Schizosaccharomyces pombe: one gene and its partners. Changing the gene in region 1 together with any one later gene gives a genetic interaction. Each region holds a gene or a part of one and is shown in the gene's direction. Other genes may lie near its edges.

The links.
Region 2: mutations in otg2 (region 1) and gmh3 impair growth when combined (synthetic growth defect), as found in Schizosaccharomyces pombe (one study listed by BioGRID).
Region 3: mutations in otg2 (region 1) and gma12 impair growth when combined (synthetic growth defect), as found in Schizosaccharomyces pombe (one study listed by BioGRID).
Region 4: mutations in otg2 (region 1) and gmh4 impair growth when combined (synthetic growth defect), as found in Schizosaccharomyces pombe (one study listed by BioGRID).

The regions. Positions count from the first base shown.
Region 1 is NC_003423.3:3,119,729-3,124,803, reverse strand, and holds otg2 (alpha-1,3-galactosyltransferase Otg2), read left to right. Parts: upstream 1-2,355; 5' UTR 2,356-2,399; coding exon 2,400-3,518; 3' UTR 3,519-4,033; downstream 4,034-5,075. Other genes in the region: cytoskeletal protein Syp1, read left to right, coding at 1-600; tif306 (translation initiation factor eIF3f), read left to right, coding at 998-1,906; alpha-1,3-galactosyltransferase Otg3, read left to right, coding at 4,447-5,075.
Region 2 is NC_003424.3:5,026,840-5,032,807, reverse strand, and holds gmh3 (alpha-1,2-galactosyltransferase Gmh3), read left to right. Parts: upstream 1-2,394; 5' UTR 2,395-2,809; coding exon 2,810-3,808; 3' UTR 3,809-5,029; intron 5,030-5,080; 3' UTR 5,081-5,203; downstream 5,204-5,968. Other genes in the region: RanGAP Rna1, read right to left, coding at 1-1,024; Rer1 family protein, read left to right, coding at 5,401-5,460, 5,514-5,968.
Region 3 is NC_003421.2:314,976-320,361, reverse strand, and holds gma12 (Golgi alpha-1,2-galactosyltransferase Gma12), read left to right. Parts: upstream 1-2,509; coding exon 2,510-3,637; 3' UTR 3,638-4,535; downstream 4,536-5,386. Other genes in the region: msf1 (phenylalanyl-tRNA synthetase), read left to right, coding at 4,709-5,386. UniProt on the Schizosaccharomyces pombe protein: Involved in the O- and N-linked oligosaccharide modification of proteins transported through the Golgi stack. This occurs in cis Golgi where the enzyme transfers galactose from UDP-galactose to a variety of mannose based acceptors.
Region 4 is NC_003423.3:1,387,270-1,392,423, forward strand, and holds gmh4 (alpha-1,2-galactosyltransferase Gmh4), read left to right. Parts: upstream 1-2,266; 5' UTR 2,267-2,913; coding exon 2,914-3,824; intron 3,825-3,877; coding exon 3,878-3,953; 3' UTR 3,954-4,397; downstream 4,398-5,154. Other genes in the region: lipoic acid synthetase Lip5, read left to right, coding at 1-182; SPOM_SPBC8D2.16C (uncharacterized protein), read right to left, coding at 478-1,299, 1,343-1,468; SPOM_SPBC8D2.18C (adenosylhomocysteinase), read right to left, coding at 4,398-5,154.

The DNA.
Region 1 (5,075 bases):
TCAGAAAACACACTTTCTTTAATACCAGAGCTACTTCTCTCACCAATCAAAGTCACTGATTTTAATCTACATCTTGATAGTATTAACGGTGCTAGTTGCATTCCATTGACAGTTGTTCAGAAATGGAAGCATGATGAAAGCAGTAGTAGTATGATTGCATTTGTGAAGCCTAATCCTGTGTGGAGGAACTTAGGCTCATCTCTTCATATTGAAAAACTTGTTATCATCGTTTACTTGGGGGAAAATGTCCTTGTAAAAAGCTGTCAAAGTTCTCCGGCCGGAGAATTTAGCAGGAAAACTAGTAAACTTAAGCTACATCTTTCGAACATTAATATATCTTCGTCTGGATTTAAAATTTTAGCCAAGTTTGCGATTAGTCCTAGTGCTGCTATTAGAAAGCCAGTTATCGAGTTCCGTATTCGCATGGTTGATTCCTCTAATAACCCTGGTCTCACCAAATTGTTTTTGAAACCAGATATGTTTGATACTACTTCTTCTAGTGGAGGTTCTCAGCTAGAAAGTGCTTATGAAGAAACGAAGGTTCCTACTTCCTATGGTATTCATGTTCGTGAGTGCTCTGTTTTTGCTGATATGAGTTAAATTACTGTTCATTATTAGTCAAGAAAAAGCAAACTGCTTTTTTGGGTTTTATGTTTACACTTTTTTGCTAACCGAATTTTTTGAACATTGTATATATATATAAATGATTTTTAACCAGAGAATGTACAAATGTAAATAGTTATAGAATTTTGAATAAAGAGTTTCTCATTATTGTACGTACAAATGAGACATTGTTAAGGAGATTTTTTAGATTATTCAACGCAACTGAAAATACACTTTCTTAAATGGTAAACCTTAGAAGTTAGGCGAAAAATAGTGTCTTCAATTTAACGAATTCTATGAGACTGTAAACTAGTACAGTAAAATTATTATTGATTGGGGAACAATACCAGATCTACCTACCTGAGAGTAGCCAACAACGTGAAAATTTTAAAAAATGGCTTTGGGGACTAAGCACGTACTCCATCTCACAAAACCGTCTTCCAGGTCAAGTCCTTTGAACATTGTCATTGAACCAGCAGTGCTTTTTTCTATCCTTGACCATTCAACCCGGAAAAGTGAAAATAATCAACGTGTTATCGGTACACTTTTGGGAACACGTTCTGAAGATGGCCGAGAAATTGAGATTAAAAGTTGTTTTGCAGTTCCTCATAATGAGAGCAGTGAGCAGGTAGAAGTTGAAATGGAATATCATCGTGCGATGTACCATTTACACCTCAAGGCTAACCCTCGTGAAGTTGTCGTTGGTTGGTATGCTACTTCTCCTGATTTAGATGCTTTCAGTGCACTGATTCAAAATTTATATGCTTCTCCTGCTGAACCCGGAACTGCTCCACTAGGAACGTATCCTCATCCCTGTGTTCACCTTACTGTCAACACAGATGTTAGCAGTCCCCTTGCCATCAAGACTTACGTTTCTTCACCAGTAGGTATTACAGAGCGCCTTGCTGACAGCTGTGCATTCGTCCCTACCCCTTTTACCATTCGTGATGACGAGGCAGTCCGTTCTGGTTTGAAAGCTGTAGCTGCTCCTAAGAATGACCCATCTAGACTTGCTAGCCTATTCACAGATCTCCAGCAACTTCGAAGATCAACCTTGGAGCTTTTATCTATGATTGAAAGAGTTTCCGATTATGTGCAAAACGTAATTGATGGTTCTTCGCCTGCTAATGTTGCTGTCGGTAGATATTTGATGAAGTGCTTTAGTTTAATTCCTTGCGTAGAAGGCCAAGATTTTGAAAAAATTTTTTCATCACATCTTCAAGATGTTTTGGTTGTAGTTTATCTCGCAAATACCTTACGTACTCAAGTGGATATTGCTTCCCGTCTTAATTTGCTTCCCTAAGCAATTGTTATAACCTAAAAAATCCGGACAATTTCTAACAGTTGTTCGATAGCCCTTTTTTCAAGTCACCGTTATTTTATCCTTTTTTCACACTGGCTGTTAACCCTCAGTGGAAGCAACTGTCTTTATCTCGTCATTCACCCATTTCGACATAGTTTGAGTAGCTTAGCTTGTCGGTAACTATTTAGTATTATACTATAATTGGTTTAGGTTAAACGTCTTATTAAATAAGAGAAAATTTTAAGTCAGAGTCATGTATCTTAACATTTCTTATAGTTAAAATAGTAAGCTTGTTTAATTTTTAAACATTTGATGTTTTTACGTTATAAAGTCGATTTAATTATGTTATTTGTTTTTCAGGGTGTTGAGTTTGTTTTGGTATTGAAAGTAAGCAAAATGTGTATGATGCACCAACAAACATTAAGGGAGTATGTAGAGTAATTCTCTCCGAAAGCACCACCATTTTATAATTTGGCAATCAATTGCCATTAAAATGCGTTTATATTTTAGTGCTTTTCGCCATCCCAAACGACTAGGACTGTGTTTACTGATTACCTTGAGCATTATTTTATTAGGTTGGCAATGTGTTTTGCTATACAATCATAGTCCAGAAATACAAAGGTCAGTTTACACACTGACAGGGTTGGCGCCCTCTTCTAAGATGGCATTTGTAACTATGCTTACTGTACGCGCCGCTAATGGGGAAAACGAAGTAGAAAATACGCAACAGGATTGGTATTATAATTCAACTAGGCTTCTCGTTCACCGACTTGTCAAATTTAAACCTACGAAAAGCAAGTATCCCGTTGTAGTGCTAGCCATGAAGGGAATTGATCAGTGGAAGCTTGATCAATTGCAGGAAGACGGAGCTATTGTTAAAGTAGTCGATCCACTATATGCTCATGAAGTGGTTGACGATGTCAATGACATTGCCCTACTGGATTCCCGATGGAGTATGATGTTTACCAAGTTGAGAGTTTTCGAAATGTACGAATATGATAGAATATGTTTTCTTGATAGTGATATTTTGCCTATTAAAAAAATGGACAAAGTTTTTGATGTTCACCAACTCTCCTATAGTAAGGATTCTGTTCTGTTTCCTCCCACCCTATTCTACAAGCCTAGGCGCAGCATTTTTTGGAGACGCTTTACAGAAGAGTTTGCAGCTTACGGGCTGACAAGAGACGATCTTTATCCCTACGTTTTCGCTGCTGTGTCCGATCCAGGTATGTGGCATGAAACTCCTCCTCCTTTTAAAGATTATTTTAATGCTGGTCTATTCGTCTTTAAGCCATTGAAGGCACATTATAAAAGGTTAATGGCATTAGCAAGGTTTCCAAAATTGTATGATAATGCAAACATGATGGAGCAAAGTTTGCTAAATTTTGCATACAATTCAGCAGGTGCTTTTCCATGGGAGTCACTTGATTGGACTTTTAACGGACTTTGGGCTAGAAAAAATGACTTACCATATCTAAAAGCAGTTCATGGAAAACATTGGCAACCAGAAGGAAGTCTAGGTTATGATGAAGACACATCCAAGCTATGGTGGGATGCGTTTCAAGAAATGCAAACGTATCATGACCAACAACGTAATGCTGATTTATATTAAACAGATGAAAGCAATTTTCATGTCGTGATCAAGTAAAAAATAAGGCGGCTTTTGACTTTTAAGAAGCAGTTATTTTCATTTAATGTATTGCTGACAACACGTACTGTTGAAAGGCTATCTCATTTTTACAGTCATTCTAAAATAATTTGTGTTTCCTCCGTCCTTTTTTAAAACCACTATACTATTCAAATTCATATACACGATCGATGGGATTCTGGATACAGGTAAACCATAATCAAAAAAATAGCTTCCTCTCTGTATGCAAATTAGATCACGTATGTTTAAAACTCACTGAAAGTTCAATGGTTTCAAGAAATTTTGCTCCTTCTTAAAAAATTCCTAATTAGTGTAAAGAATCAAGTGTTAGTCCTATCATCAATTTTAAAATTGTAAGCAAACATGTTATAAATGCTTTTTCTTTGACCAAAGGAAAACCAACGGATTTATATAAAAATTGCTAATTAGTGAGCATACGTATCCTTAGCATGTTTTTCATTTTTAGATTTCAATAAGACATTTGAAAATGTTTTAGGTAGCAAATCTATTTAAAAGTTGTTTTAAATATATATATCAAAGAAGGCTTGGTTTTAGATAGAGTGAAGATGGGATAGAAAATATCAATAGCAAGTAATTGATAAATTTTTTAAACCTTTTAATGTCAAATAACAAGTACTGTAAACTCAAATAATCTTAAAATTTTACATGAAAAACTATACTTCGTACGCATTACATCGTACCTTTAGTCTCCTAAATTGTAGTCAGCCACTACCAAACTCAATAATACAAACTACATTATATTTATTGTATTAAACCTAGCAAGTCTTAACGAGATATAGTCAGTTATAATCCTAGGGTTTTTATTATTCTGGTGGGGATTTTATAGCTATAAACGAAGTTGCGGAAAGCGATAAAATTTGCTTTATAGAATATGAATTTCTTTAAGCGGTTACGCTTACATACCAGGCTTCTACTTCGCTCAAAATTTGTCTTGATTTCACTAATTCTTTTGCTGAATTTGGGTTTACTTTTAGGGATCCAAATATATCGGGATCCCGCATTTCCTGGATCGCTAATTTCATCGGCAGCCTATGAATTTGGGCTTCATAAGCATGGCCCATATTATAACGATAATGTAGATGATTTAAAAAGGTATACATTTATGGGCTTACTTACCCTTCCTACTTCAGAACATGATGTATACTTCAATGCTACTCGAGTACTAGTATACAAGCTGAAACATCATCCTGAAACGAAAAGTAAATATCCCGTTCATGTCCTTGTTATGAAAGGGGTTGATGAATGGAAAATTGAACGATTGCGACTTGATGGGGCCGAAATAATTATGGTCGATCAAATTAAAACTGAAGACTTAATTGAAAGTGGTTTGTCTATTGGCATGGGCAGTTATCGTTATCAATACATGTTCACAAAACTCAGTGTATTTGAGCAAACACAGTTTGATAAGGTCTGCATTCTGGATAGCGATCTCCTAGTATTGAAAAACATGGATGACATTTTTGATACTCCCTATGTTTATGAATCTCCTGCAGAACCCGA
Region 2 (5,968 bases), on another chromosome or scaffold:
CATCAAGCTCATCTAGTTCACCACGACCACGGGTGCTAAAGACTTCACGTATTTCATCAACAACATCGTCTTCTTCCGAAAATCTGTTTCCATTTAATTCAAGGAATAAAAGATCCGGCATTTTCTCATCAATCACAGTTTTTAGGGTCCGGACAGCATCCAGCTCTATCTCGTTATACTGTAAGCGTAACGTTTGAAGCCCAATATTTTCTAATTTAGAAAAAGCATCTACAACTGCGGCAGCACCGCGAGCAGATAAGAGACAATCGTTGAGGCCTAGTTCTCGAAGGTTGGGCCAGCTTTTCAACGCGATAGCGAGAGCGCTAGAGCCCAAGTGCGTAAATGTGTTATCTTGAAGATCGAGTACCTTTAGCTCTTGGCAATATGCTAATCCTTCAAGCAATAAGTGTTCAATACCTTCGGGACGGATACCATTTTGCACCATTTTCACTGTATGTAGCAAACGGTGGCTCTGGAAAGTTTTAGCCCATTCTTTCATACTCCCATTTTCTAAACGATTTCTTCCACAAATAATGGAACGCAAGGGAGGTGCATTTTTAGCTTTCTTGTTGACCGCCAGCTCTTGCAAGGCACGAGCAATTTTTGCGCCAGCTTGAGGACCGAGTCCATTATTGTGTAGGTAAAGATGCTCCAAAGGTGTGTGTTTTGAAAGAAAGTCAATCAAGGGCTCCTGTGCAGTAGGGCCAAAGGCATTATCGCTCAATCTTACAGTATGTAGTTTTGGGCACTTGAGTAAAGCTTGTAGCAACAGACGTAAAGCCTCAGGAATTTCATCTTTGACACGTCCAGTAAAGATATCACTAAACTCTGCAATTTCTAAATCTTTTTTTGAGGCAATATTCTCTGACAACCATCTAGCAGCTTCGGTTCCAATTGTGTTACCAGACAATACAATTTCCTTTACAGAATCATCTTCTAACAGAACAGCAAATACAGACTTCTCGTCTTCAGTTGTAATTGCATCTAATTTCAAAGACTTCCCTTCTATTGAAAAACGCGACATGGAGTTGGTTGTTGAAAGAAAAAATATAGCAGGTATGGTGGTGAGGAAAGATTGTGTGAACTAGCTGTGTATGTTAAATTTGATCGAGGATAGATGCTTCAGTCACTTGAATTCATGGCTTTTAAAAAAGAAACTAAAATAATATTCAAAGTAGAAGAAGAACGAAATTTATCCTCTTTTGACGGATACCCCCTTTACTCAACCTGTTTTTATTTACAAACTCAAATGCGATCTCTCGCTAATGAGTTTAATTTTAAGACGATTCTATGCTATTAGAAGTCATTTAAATTATTAGATCAGATTAGCGCAAACCGAAAGATACTCAATGTCGGAGTGGTGCATTAGTGCTCGGATACGTTCCTGAAAGACATGTATAAAACTTTTGTAAATAGGATGATTGAGCTTTTTTGACATTTATCTATCATTCATTTTTGAAAAAATAGCTGTGACAATCCTGTTGCATATAGTTTGTTTTTTTGACTAAGTATAGAGGATCTTATGAAGAACCTTTTTGAGTGACCTTAGTCCTGAATTCTTAGCTTAAGTTTGCTTTAACTTAATTGCATTTCTAGCAATTAACATTGCTAGATTTTTGCCTCATCGCTAGTCCATTTATAAGAATACGAAGTTGAACGAAGGAATATTGACCAAAAGAGCTTGGTGACTTCCAAAAAATGAAGAATCAAAAAGATCTGAAATGAGTATCCCTATCTTTCAGCTTTCCGCTTGTTTCGTGATCATTTCAGTTACTCACACATATACATTTATGAGTTGACCCAAAAAGAAAATCGGAAAGCGGGAGTTTAACAGATATATGAAAAATCAAGATAATAACAACAATTGATATTTTTAGTTTAACATTTCTTATTCATTACTGTGAAAATCCACGAGTCTGCACTCTAGACACATAGAATACTCTTTAAACAGCTTTCACATTATCAGGAAAGCTATTCCATTGATACTGTATTCTTTTCAGTAAATTAATTCTCATTTCATAGTTGTAACCATTCTCGAATTGGACTTCAGTCCGCATTCCAGTACTTGATCTGCTTTACCTGTTTCAACAATTTGAATCGTTTGATTATTTTCCCATTCAATCATGACATTGATTTAGACGTATTGCTGAATTAAGCCATTCCTGTTATTTGTCCCAACGTATAAAACTGGTTAAAATGTTTAAGTACTGTGAATCATGTCATTAAAAGTTTGGAAACGTGATTTTAAAGGAACAACTCATTATTTTGAACATAAATCATTACCATACAGATTTTTCTTCTTTTTCTTCTTTTATTATAAATAGGATACGATAAGTAGAGGAAACCGTAAATTTATGATGATTGACTCCATGATGCGGTAATTTCAATCCTTCCACTACACACTGCCTTTAATTCCAGGTCCATCTGGTTAATCATTTTTTAAAGAATCTAATTCATTCATATTTTTTTATTATAATTTACATTATATTTTCAATTTCTTTTTACTGTTTTCTCTCGTTTCTTGAGTCAACGGGCGAAGATTCGTGTTTCAAACGTAGTATTCTTTGGAATATCACAAATCTCATTTTAATTTTTAAAACGGCTTTCTAATTTTCTACCGAGAAAGAGTAGAAAGTTTCCCATTTCATTCATAATTTCTGATCCATTCTTGGTATCTTATTGTTTTGCTTTTATCCAATCTCAGTTTATATTTGTGAAACTTGAAAAAGAGTTTCTCTTGTCTCTAAAAGACTAAATTTTATTTTTTATTTTTTTATTAATTTGCATTTAACATCTGCTAATCTTTAAAATGGCAGTCCTACAGTGGAAGTTATCTCGTGTTATATTCGTGTTGTTAATCATTGGGATTAGCTCTTTTCTCATTTACTTCCAATTTGGAAACTCTTTTTCTGCTTCACCTGCTTTAGAACGTTTACAAGATGTATTTTCCAAACCAAGTGTACAAGAATACGACTACTTAGTACCTCTGGATGAAGATATGCAAGGCCTTAGCACGACGTATCATCAAGCGACAATTAACGAGGATGATCCTCAAGAGCCCAAATCCCATGAAATAGTAATCCTCTTAGCGAGTGATGGACGTTCAAGTGGCAATATGGCACCTGAAACATTTAATCAATGCATAGAAAACCGAATTAACTACGCAAAGCATCACAACTATGGCTTTGAATATGTTAATGTAAGCCAAATGAACATTCCTCCAGTGTGGGCCAAAATGCCCGCTATTATACAAACAATGAATAAGCATCCTCATGCGAAATGGATTTGGTGGTTGGACCAAGATGCGTTAATTTTGAACACAGAACTCTCTATTCAAGAACATATTTTGTCACCTGACGTTTTAGTGGAAAAGTTAATGAAGAATGAACCTATGATATCTCCATTTAGTGCTGATCTCGAACGTCTCACCCCAAGTTCCTATACTGTTGACAGTGCTCGTTCTTTAGGGCTATTGATTTCTCAAGATTTGAATGGCTTAAACGCGGGAAGTTTCTTTGTTAGAAGGTCGCCCATGATGGCTCTGTTTTTGGACTTATGGGGCGATAAATCCTTTAGAGAAAATAAGGTTGCGGATCATGAACAGGCCCTTTTGGGATATTTTGTTAGATATCACCCGGAAATTGCTGCTATAATAGGAATTTTACCTCAAACCCTTATTAATTCTTACCCTGTTGGCCAGCCGGAAATGGGCTGGAAAGAAGGTCATTTGGTTATACATTTTGCTGGGTGTTGGGTGGAGAACCGTTGTCAGGTTTTGTGGGATGAATATCGTGAGAGGGTTCATTGATGTGCATTAATAATAATAGTATTACCATTATTAATGCATTTGGTTATTTCCCCTCATCTTGTCTTTATTTTTATTATACACAAGCCACTGGATGCCACTCCTTTTACATAATTACCTATACAATTATGCTCTATGTATGTGTATATATTATCTAAGCATAGTCTGCCTCCTTAACCGTGCTAGTTACGGTTGTTTTCAATGGAAGAATGTGTTTATTTTATATGCGGTGTTCTGTTACAGAGGTGGTGGATAATCATCTAATTCCTTCTTTAATTTTTCTAATATACATTGCTATATAAACTAATTGTGACACTTATATTATAGGTGGTTTTGCAGGCCCCAGACAAATATTAATTGTGTTTAATTCATAAGCTTAAGGCTGAAACCACCAATCTTTTATTATATTTGTTTTATTGCACTTAATCTTTGGCTTTTTTTCAATTATTATTGAATCTATGCTACCTGTGTGAAACATAATCGATATTACTCCTAAAAAGCTGTGGATATTTGGGTAGGTAAAGTTATATCGCTTGATCCTAAGTTTGATATTTGTATTTTTTTTTGTTTAGGAAGTTGGCAATGCTTGCAATCTTGTCTTTTTCTATACATTTCTTCCTTGCCTTTGTCTTCAATCTAATCTGCGTATAAATGTCGATCTGGTTTACTTTTATAGACTGAATTCATTAATTTCTTTTTCCTTTTATTAAAGCTATTCAATGTAGATTTGTCACATTATTTTGCTGTGCAGGATTGTCATGAATTGAAAAAGCATACGTTATCTGACTTTATGAACCTCGAAATAAAATAAACAAGCATTATATTACATTTGTGTAAATTATAATGCTGTTAGGGTTGATGATAACTGCAAAATTCATGGCTGGTTTGAAAAGAGCTTTGCCGTTAATTTCAAATAGAAGTTGACATCGCTTTATTAGAGATGTCCAGCACCGGCTATACTCAATGATCATTAGTTGTTATTTCCGCTACATTTGCTTAATGAACCTTTTTATAAAAGCTTGCATCGAAAGAAGAAGTGTCATGTTGTAAATGTTAAAGAGTACCCAGACAAATTCTTCAGATTATTATCTTTACTCTTGACTTTTCCAACAAATTGACGACTCGTTTACTACTATGAATTCTTCATAAACACCCAAATCGACATGCCATTTTTCTGCAAAATTAATGAAGTCGAAGGTGAGCTGTATACAGTTTAACGTATTGGTAAGTATATGCATTAAATTTCTAATCGGTTAATGAGTTGATCATATTTAGGAACTTCAAATTGGTAAACGTAACCGTGGTGTAACTATACTAATCTATTCAAAAAAAAAGTAATTCTGACTGCCAAATTATCACTGAATCTTTTCTTTACACGCTTACCGCTCTCGAGTCCTGTAGAGACAAATTATTACTTTATCGTTATATTACTTTAAACTAATAATATCATTCACCGATAACACATTATAATGTATACTGTATTCTAGTGTAGGGGGTAAATGGAGTCTGGCAGTAGCGCGTATATGTCTGAATTGAATACATATTTCACTTCACTACCAACCACCATTTTATCGTCTGTTTGACAGTATTTAAGCATGGAATTCATTCAGCGTCATATAGAAAATGTTAAAGAGAAGAAAAACTTTGCAGTTCGAGTAAGAATAACTTGATTAGCTTGAGAAAAGAAGAAAATCTAACGTGTTTTTAGTTGTATCGACACTGGGTGGACCGAACCATACCTTATACAACGTATAGATGGCTGACTGTTAGTGGATTAATTGCATTATTTTTTATTAGGATTCTACTGGTTCGCGGTTGGTATATTGTTTGCTATACATTAGCCATTTACCTGCTCAATCTGTTCCTTGCGTTCTTGACTCCAAAATTCGATCCTAGTGTTGAGCAAGCAATGAAAGATGAAGAAATTGAAGAAGGAGTTCTTCCTACTTCCAAAGACGATGAATTTCGACCCTTTATTCGTAGATTGCCAGAATTCAAGTTTTGGTATTCAAGCATGCGTGCCACCTTGTTCGCCTTAGTCGCGTCCTTTTTCCGAATATTTGATGTACCTGTGTTTTGGCCTATTCTTGTTGTCTATTATCTTGTACTTTCTTTTTTCTGCTTTCGACGACAAATTCAGCACATGCTCAAGTATCGTTACGT
Region 3 (5,386 bases), on another chromosome or scaffold:
TTAAGTGTCATATGCGCACAGTTGCGACATAATGACCACCTTCATTTTTATGCTGAACCACATTACGCATCCCAGCACTACATCAGTAACGCTTATAAGAACCATGTTCTAAAACAACGTGTTGAGTAAATTAAAGCAAAGGAAGAAAATGCGTTAATATTTGTGTCAATCTTTAACAAGAAATGAATGTAGTTTTTAAAATAGTAAAGATAAACAAACCATTGTAATATAGCTTGATACAAACTCTCTCTGTCTGATGACATGCCAGTTATTCAATTTGCTATCTCTGTAGTATACCAAGCGGATAAATAGGTAGACCTGTTTATCCAAGGACGGTACCAGTCTTATTGTAGATGCAATACATTTAAGCAACTCTTTAAATGTAATATTTAAAGGGAGTTTCTTCAGTTCGTTTTTTTGCAGCAAAACTTTTGATTGCGGTGATTCCAGTATTATTTACTAACCATCGCATGCCAGAGCGATATCTTTTTACAGCAACCATAACTCGGTTTCTTATTATCTTTAACGATAACCTAGATGGTCTTTGATTTTTCATTACACACTCTCATAATTAGCACGTTAAAGAAGCTTTGGAAAGCTGAGTGAGCATTGCAAAAAAATTTTAAATGGAAGTAGACAAATTGACTCTTTTCTGCAATGTTCGGAGGAAATAGTTCCTTTCTGTATAATCCTTATTTGAAAGTTTAGGATTTGCGGAACCCTTTTTTTTCTTTTCCACCCGGTCCGATAGTTGTAAAGGGGACAAATTTATTTTTGTCCGTTTACAAAAATAAAGAAGTAAAGCAGTGTAACTAAAGGGGAAAACATTGAGTTTTATGGTAAAAGATCCTATGTTCCATTAAACATCGAAAAAGGTTTGTTGGCTTTGAATTTGAATGAAGTTACATGCAGTTAAGTTAGCGAAACGATCGATTGGAAATTCCTAAACAATCGGTATGGTATGGGATGGGACTAAATAATTGGAGGAACTTGCTATAAGGTAATTAATAATATAAAGAAGCCGATAATATACAGTATGGTAATAGAAACAAAGCAATGAATCTTGCTCAGTCATTACTAGTTTGCTCTCTAGGGTTAAATTAGTTGGATCAGTAATTTTCAATCGAAACAAAAATATTTAAATAAATACGAATTATGCTTTACTTAGATTTATTATTGTTTTATTTTTATTTATTGCTCTTTTCATCTTTTTTAGAAGTTTTATTGTCTTTCATGTTTGGAATAGAATTTTTTCCCATTAAGCGGCAGTACTAAAAAAAAATTATTTCGATGTCTTTTAAAACCTGAATGATACTATTATATCTCTTTAAACTACTTTTATTTCTAGCACTTGCCATGTTGTTTTGTAATATTGGCTTTACCAGCCATTTGACTTTTTCTTTGTTTACACTAACATCACCGCACCAAAGCGTCAAGAATTTACTGCAGAATTTTACCAAAGAATGTAGAAACTAATTTTCTTTGGAAATTCGGGATTGCATCGATGCACAAGTCACTGACTTCTATAAATACAATTGTTTAGCAAGCTCCCTTTTTTTATTTTCAATAACAGGTAACACGTTTGGCAGGTAACAAGGAGACAATTAATCCATCACTCCAGAAACATATTAGCATTCCCCCCCGATTTAAACCTGGCCTTAACTTACCACCAATTTTTTTTTGCTTAAGGCAATTGGTTTTGTGTTTGTTAACATTCTAATTGTAAGACCTTGACGAAAAACTGGTTTTAAAGGATTTTTTACTGAGCTAATTTATTCGTTTATACGGGCTTTGTTCATTTCGCTTTTGGTAATCTCACTTTTTTTTGGTTTCCAGAGGCATTTTTAAATTTCAATACTTTTTCTTGAGTTTTTGATTTTTGCTTTCTTTTTAGTTTTGCGTTGACAAGTACTGAATTGTAATCTTTATCGTGGATTTAATTAGATTCAAGTGATTTTTAACACCTACATTGCCAAGTAGTATTAAAGTATTCATTTCATTGGTTTGGACTAGTTATATACTTCAAACTGGTGTTTACTTCCTTCTTTCGCTTCTTTTTCTTTCTAAACTTTGCTATATTTTGCCTTCGTTCGTTAGGTTACTATTTATTTACAAATTGAACCTTTTCATATAGGTTCTCTACAGGGATTTTCTTACCATTACTTATTGTAACAGATTTCTTAGTTGAGAGAATATTTTCACTTGGGGGGGTTTTTTTTCTTTTTAATTCACCACACGTATCTAGGTTTTCTACATTCTCTTGGATACAATCTCTTTTATTGCACAGAATCTTCTTTGATTTTCGTCTAATATTCCTACTGTCGGTTCTTTTACCCTTCCTGTTTCTACTTTTTAAAAGCTCTCATATATCACTCATCACCATCCTTTCTCTAATTTTATCTTTCGTTCACTGCTTAATTTTGCATTTCTAAGGAAATTCTCCGTTCCTTTATCATTTTATTTTATTTTGTCTCTTCTATATTATTAGTTTACTCTTGATTATTTGACAATGCGGTTCGCTCCTTATTTAATTAGTGCTGTTGTAATTACAACCATAATCCTGGGTGGAGCTTGGTGGACTTCAGCTATGGATACCAAGCTTCAAACGAAGATGAAGGAGATCATCGACCAACACACGAGTACTTGGACCCCAGTCGTTTCCTCCGTAACCAGTACCCAAACTGATACTTTACGTGTTACCATTAGTGAAGTTGTTAGTGTTACTGCCACTTTAACCGAAACTTTCACTGCTACTCCAACTGTCACTTCTGTAGTTCATGCTTTAGCTACCACTGATCCTCATCCGGATAACTCTAAAATCGTCATTTTGATGGGCTCTAACTTTCAAAATGATGCTAACTCTCCTCTCCATCCTTTCGCTCAGTCCATTATCAAAAATCGTCGTGAATATGCTGAACGCCATGGTTACAAATTCGAATTCTTAGATGCCGATGCCTATGCTTCTCGTGTTACAGGTCATTTAATGCCCTGGGTTAAGGTCCCTATGCTTCAAGATACGATGAAGAAATATCCTGACGCTGAATGGATTTGGTGGCTTGATCATGACGCGTTGGTCATGAACAAAGATCTTAACGTCGTCGACCATGTGCTTAAGCACGACCGATTGAATACCATTTTAACTAGGGAGGCTGAATATAAGAGTGGTGCAGGTATCCCCGCCGATGGATTTAGAACTCCAAAGGATCAGGATGCTAAGGATGTTCATTTCATCATCTCTCAAGATTTTAATGGTATTAACGCTGGCAGTCTTTTTATTCGTAATAGCGAAGTTGGCCGCTGGATTGTTGATTTGTGGTTTGAACCCTTATATTTGGATCATATTCAGGGATATGCTGAGCAACAAGCGTTTTCTCACATGGTATTTTACCATCCCCAGGTGTATAAACATGTAGGTGTTGTCCCACTTAAGGCTATAAACGCATATGATTTTGATGATAATATTTGGGGCTATGACGACGGGGACTTGTGTATCCATTTTGCTGGATGTAACTATTTTAAGAATTGTCCCGAGAAGTTCCTTAAGTATGCTCAAATTTTATCTTCTAAACAAGGATCCGATTGGATGTCTGCTCAAGAAAAGGATCATATTCAAAATCTTTTGAAACCATCATCCTAGTTTTTTTCAGTCACGCATGGAAAAATACCTTGTACTTTAGACTGGTTTAATTTCATGATATTTGTCATTTTACTCAAGAACAACGTCTGTCCAGTATGTTGGTAGTTTTCTCAATTTTTTATTATCGGGGATAAGCAAACTCCTTCTTTCATTACTAATCAAGTCATTTAATTATCCTCCCCTCCTTAGTGAACACCTTAATAGTTTCTCCCTTTTCATGATTTCATGAGCTTAGTATCATTACGTTCAGGACCTTCTAATTTCGTGTTGGAGGATTTTAGTGTTGTCTAATCTATTTCCTTTTCTAAAGTCAAGTTTTGTATCGTACTTTAAGTACAAAGTTCGAGTTTTGCTGTTACGCTTCAAACCGTTTTATTTAATTTTTAAACCCCAGCCTTTCTTGGAGTAAAATGTTAGTAGATGACAAACTTGTTAGGGGTTTGAATGAATTTTCATACGCAGAATGCTGCTTTCTTTAAAATCGGGATGATTTGAAATGTTATTTGAAATGTTGAGTTTTTTGTAGCCTACATTACGATTGTACGGCTTATAGGACAGTGAAGCTATTAAATACTTGATCTAATATGACCGATTACAAGAAAGTCCTTGATAATTTTTCTGCACTTCTTTTGAAGTTGGCAACTTTATGTACAGTATGATGCTCTATCTTTCTAAATAAAGTTATGTCAGGAGTCTTATGGAAATAAAATTTGCAATTCGTCGTAATGAAATCCATTTGAGTGATAATGGCTTTTGAAATTAAAGCATATATTTTTTTTATGCAAAAACAATGAATGAAATATTTGTAAACTGACCAAATCTATAAACCACTGCTTGAAAATTAAACGATTCGAATTTTACTCCTTTGTTCATTGTATCCAAGAACGGCACAACCCCTATATTTGGGTACTATCATTTTTTTACTTTCAAATGGGACGCAATTAAGACCGATTGATTGAATTCTATTAAATTATTATTATATATTAATTTTAAAAATAGTTAGCTTCGTTGTTCTAATTTAAATTATCATTGTTTGATTACAAAAAGTGAAGTGTGTTATTTAAGAAATCAATGTTCCCTCATCGAGTCTCTCATTTATCGAAACTATTTTCGAGAAGGTTTCCCAATTGGAAAAGAAAAGTCCAAACAGATTCTTGGTCCAATGTCCCAGAGCATATTCACTCAAAAATTGGTCGAAACCTTTTTCAAAAAGAAGGTCATCCCATATGCAGTCTACGACAACTTCTCGAACAGCAATTTCAAAAATTCGAAATGAATAATGTTCAAAAAGAATCACCTATTGTTTCTGTAGAGACGAATTTTGATTCTTTAGGATTTCCCAAGACACATGTAAGTAGAAGCAAATCCGATACTTACTATATGAACAATAAAACTTGTCTTCGAACCCATACCTCGGCTCATCAACCTGAAGAGTTCTCTCGCTTGGCCAAAGAAGGATTTAAGAAAAATGGTTTCTTAATAACCGCAGATGTATACCGTCGCGATGAAGTGGATTCTAGTCATTATCCAATTTTTCATCAAATGGAAGGTGCATTGGTGTGGAACAGAAATGATACTGCAAAAATGAAAAATGATCTAAAAAAAGTAGCTCTTTCTCCATCTCTTAAGTCAATGGTGGATGATGAAACTACTGCATTAGAAACTCATAATGACATGCAAGATATTTATTCACTTGAAGAGACAAAATTTGTTTCCCAACATTTAAAGGATACTCTGACCACCGTGATT
Region 4 (5,154 bases), 1.7 Mb from region 1:
TAAAAGTGCAAGAGTATGTACATCCTAAGAAGTTTGAATATTGGAAAGAAGTGGCAGAGAAATTAGGATTCTTATACGTGGCTAGTGGTCCACTTGTTCGTAGTAGCTATAAGGCTGGCGAATATTTTATGGAGAATCTTATTAAAAAGAGATCAGGAAACCCTGCTTCTATGAGTGTTTAAACATGGCTGCTTATCTAGGTACACTCGATAGGAGTTTGTCTTCAACAGAATTACCCTTTTTTGCATTGACTCGAATCATCTTTTAAATTTTTTTATTCTTTATTTCAACAATACACTCTTAGATATAATTTTAATCATAATAATTCTCGTCTTAGTTTCTAATATCGTCTTTATACCCAAGTTATCCTTATAATTTATCATATTCAAAATTGATTTTGTTTTCCTTGATTAGCGAGACAGCTTTATAATATTTAAGTAAGAAAAAGACAGCTTCACCTTTGTAAGTATTTAGGCTTTATCGTCGTCCATGCATCAGCAACATATCTGACAAACGGGTCATGGCCGCCAAAAGTATCTCTTCAGGAATGGGATCATTTAGAAAAGAAACTGGGAATGGGTTAAAAGAAATACTTTTGGCAGTGGAGTCTACGAGCTCTTTTTGTACGACATTGTCTTGTAAAACAAGAACAGCATGCCGAAACGAACTTGGTAAACTCGCTTCTAACTCTTTTGAAGTAATAGCTGAAGTCTGACTGTTGATTTGAACAACAAAGTCATATCCACCTTTGTAAGGAGAACTTTTACACAGCTGAGAAGAAAGACATGACCGCACCTTGTAACCCCAATAATGACCACCTTTTTCTCGTGGAGCTGAAAAAGACACGATATCACCTTGAAGCTGGCCTTCTTCGTTTGGAGACTGCGCTTTTAATCGAACCGTGACCCTTGTTCTAGGAGCAAGGACGCTGGGGCTGGAAACGATTACATTGTGAGATAGTCCAGCATTTATAATATATTTATTCTTTGCTTGCGGAGATGGATGAGTAACGATTCCCTCTCGGTATGGGAATTCAATATTCACTGTGCTAGCCTTGTCATTTCTGAGGGGAAGTAATGGAAAGCAGCTAGTATATTTTAGATGTGGATTTAGTGGAAACAATTCCTTCCTCATAAAGAAAGGCGTTTCGAAATAGCATAATAAGTCCGTGAGAAATTTTGTGGGATCCTTTAAATAAGCATCAGAGGAAAGTGTATGTACCTGGGTGTTTTGCACATATTCAGGGTCCTCTAGCAAAATAATTTCGTCAATACCATATAGAGAAACTATTCTCGAAATCTATATTTTGAGTTAATACGCGACAACAACGAATCTTTCAAACCTTCCAGACAAAACTCGTTTTAAGCTGCAAATTGTATGCTACATTTAGACTTGAAATAGGTAATGCTAAAGATATCGTATATCGTCTCGTTGGTGGTAAGCTTTGTATTTCGCTTTCTTTTTCCATAGCAGTTTCTGTAAGCAATTAATGAGAAGTAATAATATGGCCCAAGTAGCAGTATTTTATTTACTTTTTGCTGTCTTGGGAAACAGAATATTAGGATTTGGCTTTTTATAAAAATTTTAACGTCTTAAAAAGTTGGTGAAGAGTAAAGGCATGAATTTCATTTACCAGGCTAAAAACCGTCCATTTAATATAATTAAACTAATTTTAAATTTTTTTTGAAGTATTGATCAAGGTAAAGGGATATTTTATATCAATACTTTTATTGATAGGTAAAAAAAAAAATCCTGTACTTCATAAACAATGAAAAAAATTCAAACAAACAAATGTGTTTAATGCCATTCAATGAGTGCGATTTAAACTATCAATGAGTCTTCGTAAATACCAAAGGGCTATAGAATCCCCTTTTTTTTTTTTTTTTTTTTTCTTTATATGGAAATAATAAAAAAAATGGTGTACACTTTGCTTGCAATTTATATAAACCAACTATACACGCCGAAGCTTGTATATAACCGCTGTAAAAATTTGTTAGTAGAAAAAACAAGATGATATTTTATTAATTACATACATAATTTTTTAAGTCAATAGAAGTTCATCGACTCTGATTCAATTCATCTTCAATCTTACTCTATTTACTATTTACTTTTATGATTTTCGCTATATAATGAGTAGCACCGGGTATAACGCTATAACAGTTTAAAGTATAATTTCAATATCACTAAAAAAATCTAAAAACACGTTAGAGTACGTTAGGTAGGATGCATCGTACACGTTAATCAAAATCCTTCGAATGTCGAACACGCAGACTACAAATACAGCCAAGTTGCTGCCAATTATAAAAGCAACGTTTCTCTGCTCTTAGTACGTGGTTGGGTGGATCCTGATTTCTGTAAAAATCATATTCAATATCAATAACCAGTCCATCTTGACTCGTAGTCTTTGAAACGGTGTAAAAGGATTGTTGTCAGGATAAGCTATAATCTATTGTTGTTTAAATTGTAGAATCTTCCTCTTTTTTAAATATCGCCGATATAGCTTGACAAAAAGGCTCATTTTGAAAGCTAGGCGTTGTGTTCTCGCAAGGTTTCTTTCATTATCCGGTTTTTCGTATTTCTTAGTGAAAACGCCCTCTGTAACATCTTTACTGTTTTAATTTTCGGATATACTCGCGTATATATCGTTGGATCATTTATTTGCATTTAAAAAAGGGCCATATATATTCCATTTTCTTTACGACCCAGATCTTTATACCTTTTTTTCTCTTCTCTATTTATACCTTCTCGATTTACAGATATTCTCTTACCTTCTTTTCTACATTATTTGCACATTTAAAAAACCCCTAAGGTTTATTCTTTTAAACCGTTATCTTGTTCCATAGACGCGCATAACCAACTCATTTTTTCTCGCAAACTGTTTGTTTTGCACTTTTTTACTTTGTATTCTGCAAGATGTTCAACTTTCGTTTATTTTCTCGTAGAGGAAAAAGTTTAGGTCTCTTGGCCATCGTTTTATTGCTTTTTGGCTTTTATTCTTTAAAGTCTTCAATGCCTGTTTATTCCAATTCGATTGGTTCTCCCAGTGCCCATTCCTCTTCATACAAAGGTGTTTCTAAGGCGAAAACATCTCCACAAGATCCTGATTCCGTAGTCATGTTGATTGTTAGTTTTGACGACCATTATGATTCAAGTAGATCTGACTCCAGCTCTGTCTTCCTGGATAAAGTGCTTTCTGATCGTACAGAGTATGCCTTGCGTCATGGCTATACCCTAGTCCACAAGAAAGCCCGCGATATTCAAGCGAGGTATGGTGTCTATGGTACTTGGAGTATTATCCCAGCTTTGAGGGAAACTTTGGCTGAGTATCCCGACGCTGGCTGGATATGGTTGCTCGATGCAAAGGCTGTTATAATGAATCCTTCCGAATCTCTCAAGGATAGGGTCTTGAAACCAGAAAAACTGTCGCAGCATTTGCTTCTTAATTCTCCGATCGATCCATTAAAGAACTACATCCGTACACGCCGTAAAATGGATCCATCTGATGTATTTGTAATTACCACCAGTGATTATAATGGAATTAGTACGCGTTCTTTGCTTATTAAAAATAACAACTTTGCGCCATTTCTTTTAGATGCTTGGAATGAACCTTTGTTGAAATCCGCCGGTTTTGATCAAGCTGAGCGATCTGCGCTATCCCACTTATTGGAAGCACATAACACTATCTTGGATCATGTTGCACTTGTGTCTCCTAAAGTTTTAAATTCATACACCAACTCTGCGGTCGATTTGAATTACGAAGAAGGTGATTTCTTGGTTATTCTTCAGGACTGTGAGAACGCTGCTGCATGCGAGCGTATATTCGAGTATGTATTCTATTTATCATCTTGGTCTCTTGTATTTTTACTAACACTTCCAGCAACTACTATCAACAGAGAAAACTTCCAGCCATTAAAAAGCAGCTTTCGGAAGAAACGGTTGATGAACAATCGTAGGTTAGTACTGTCTTAGCATCTTACTTTCATTTCCAGTAACTCATCTTCATCTAAACCTATCTTTCAAATTCGGTGGTTTGCATATTCCTACATTAATTTAATGAATTTATACTTAATTTCCTTTGTTTGATCAAGGGAAGATATGTTTTTCGTTTACGGAAATACATCGCAGATTGGTTTACAAGTCAAGCAATTCATATGTTATATTCATCAAATCTTCTTAATGAAAGCACGTTAATTGCTATTCTATGCAAAGAAAGAAACATTTATTATGTTTGACCTGAAATCCACATAAACCCAGTTGAATAACATTAATGCATTTCATGGCGACATAGAGACATAGATGCTGTTGAAACATCACTCATGCAAAAAAAAGAGGCTGAAACATTTTTAAAGTAATTATAACTTCAAAATAAATTCTATAAACTAAATGATAAGAATAGATTAGTAACGATAGTGATCAGCCTTGTAAGGACCGTCAACAGGGATACCCAAGTAGTCGGATTGAACAGAAGTCAAAGTAGTAAGTTTGACACCGAGTTTACCCAAATGAAGACGGGCAACCTCCTCATCCAACTTCTTGGGAAGCATATGAACACCAAGAGGATAGCTGGTGTTATCGGTCCACAAAGCGATTTGGGCAAGGACCTGGTTAGTGAAAGAGCAGGACATAACAAAAGAGGGATGTCCGGTGGCACAACCAAGGTTAACGAGACGACCATCAGCTAAAAGAATGATATGACGACCGTTCTTCAATTCATAACGATCAACCTGGGGCTTGATGTTAACAACATCCTTAGCGTTAGCCTTCAACCAAGCGACATCGATCTCGACATCAAAATGACCAATGTTACAAACGATAGAGTCCTCCTTCATTTCGTTGAAGTGCTCACCACGAATAATGTCACGGCAACCAGTGGTGGTAACAAAGATTTGACCTTCCTTAACAGCCTCTTCCATAGTGGTGACTTCGAAACCGTCCATAGCGGCTTGAAGGGCATTGATGGGATCGACTTCAGTGACAATGACACGGGCACCTTGGCTACGAAGAGAAGTTGAACAACCTTTACCAACATCACCAAAACCAGCAACAACAGCAACTTTACCAGCAATCATAACATCAGTGGCACGCTTGATACCATCCACCAAGGACTCCTTGCATCCAAAAAGATTGTCAAACTTGGACTTGGTAACAGAGTCG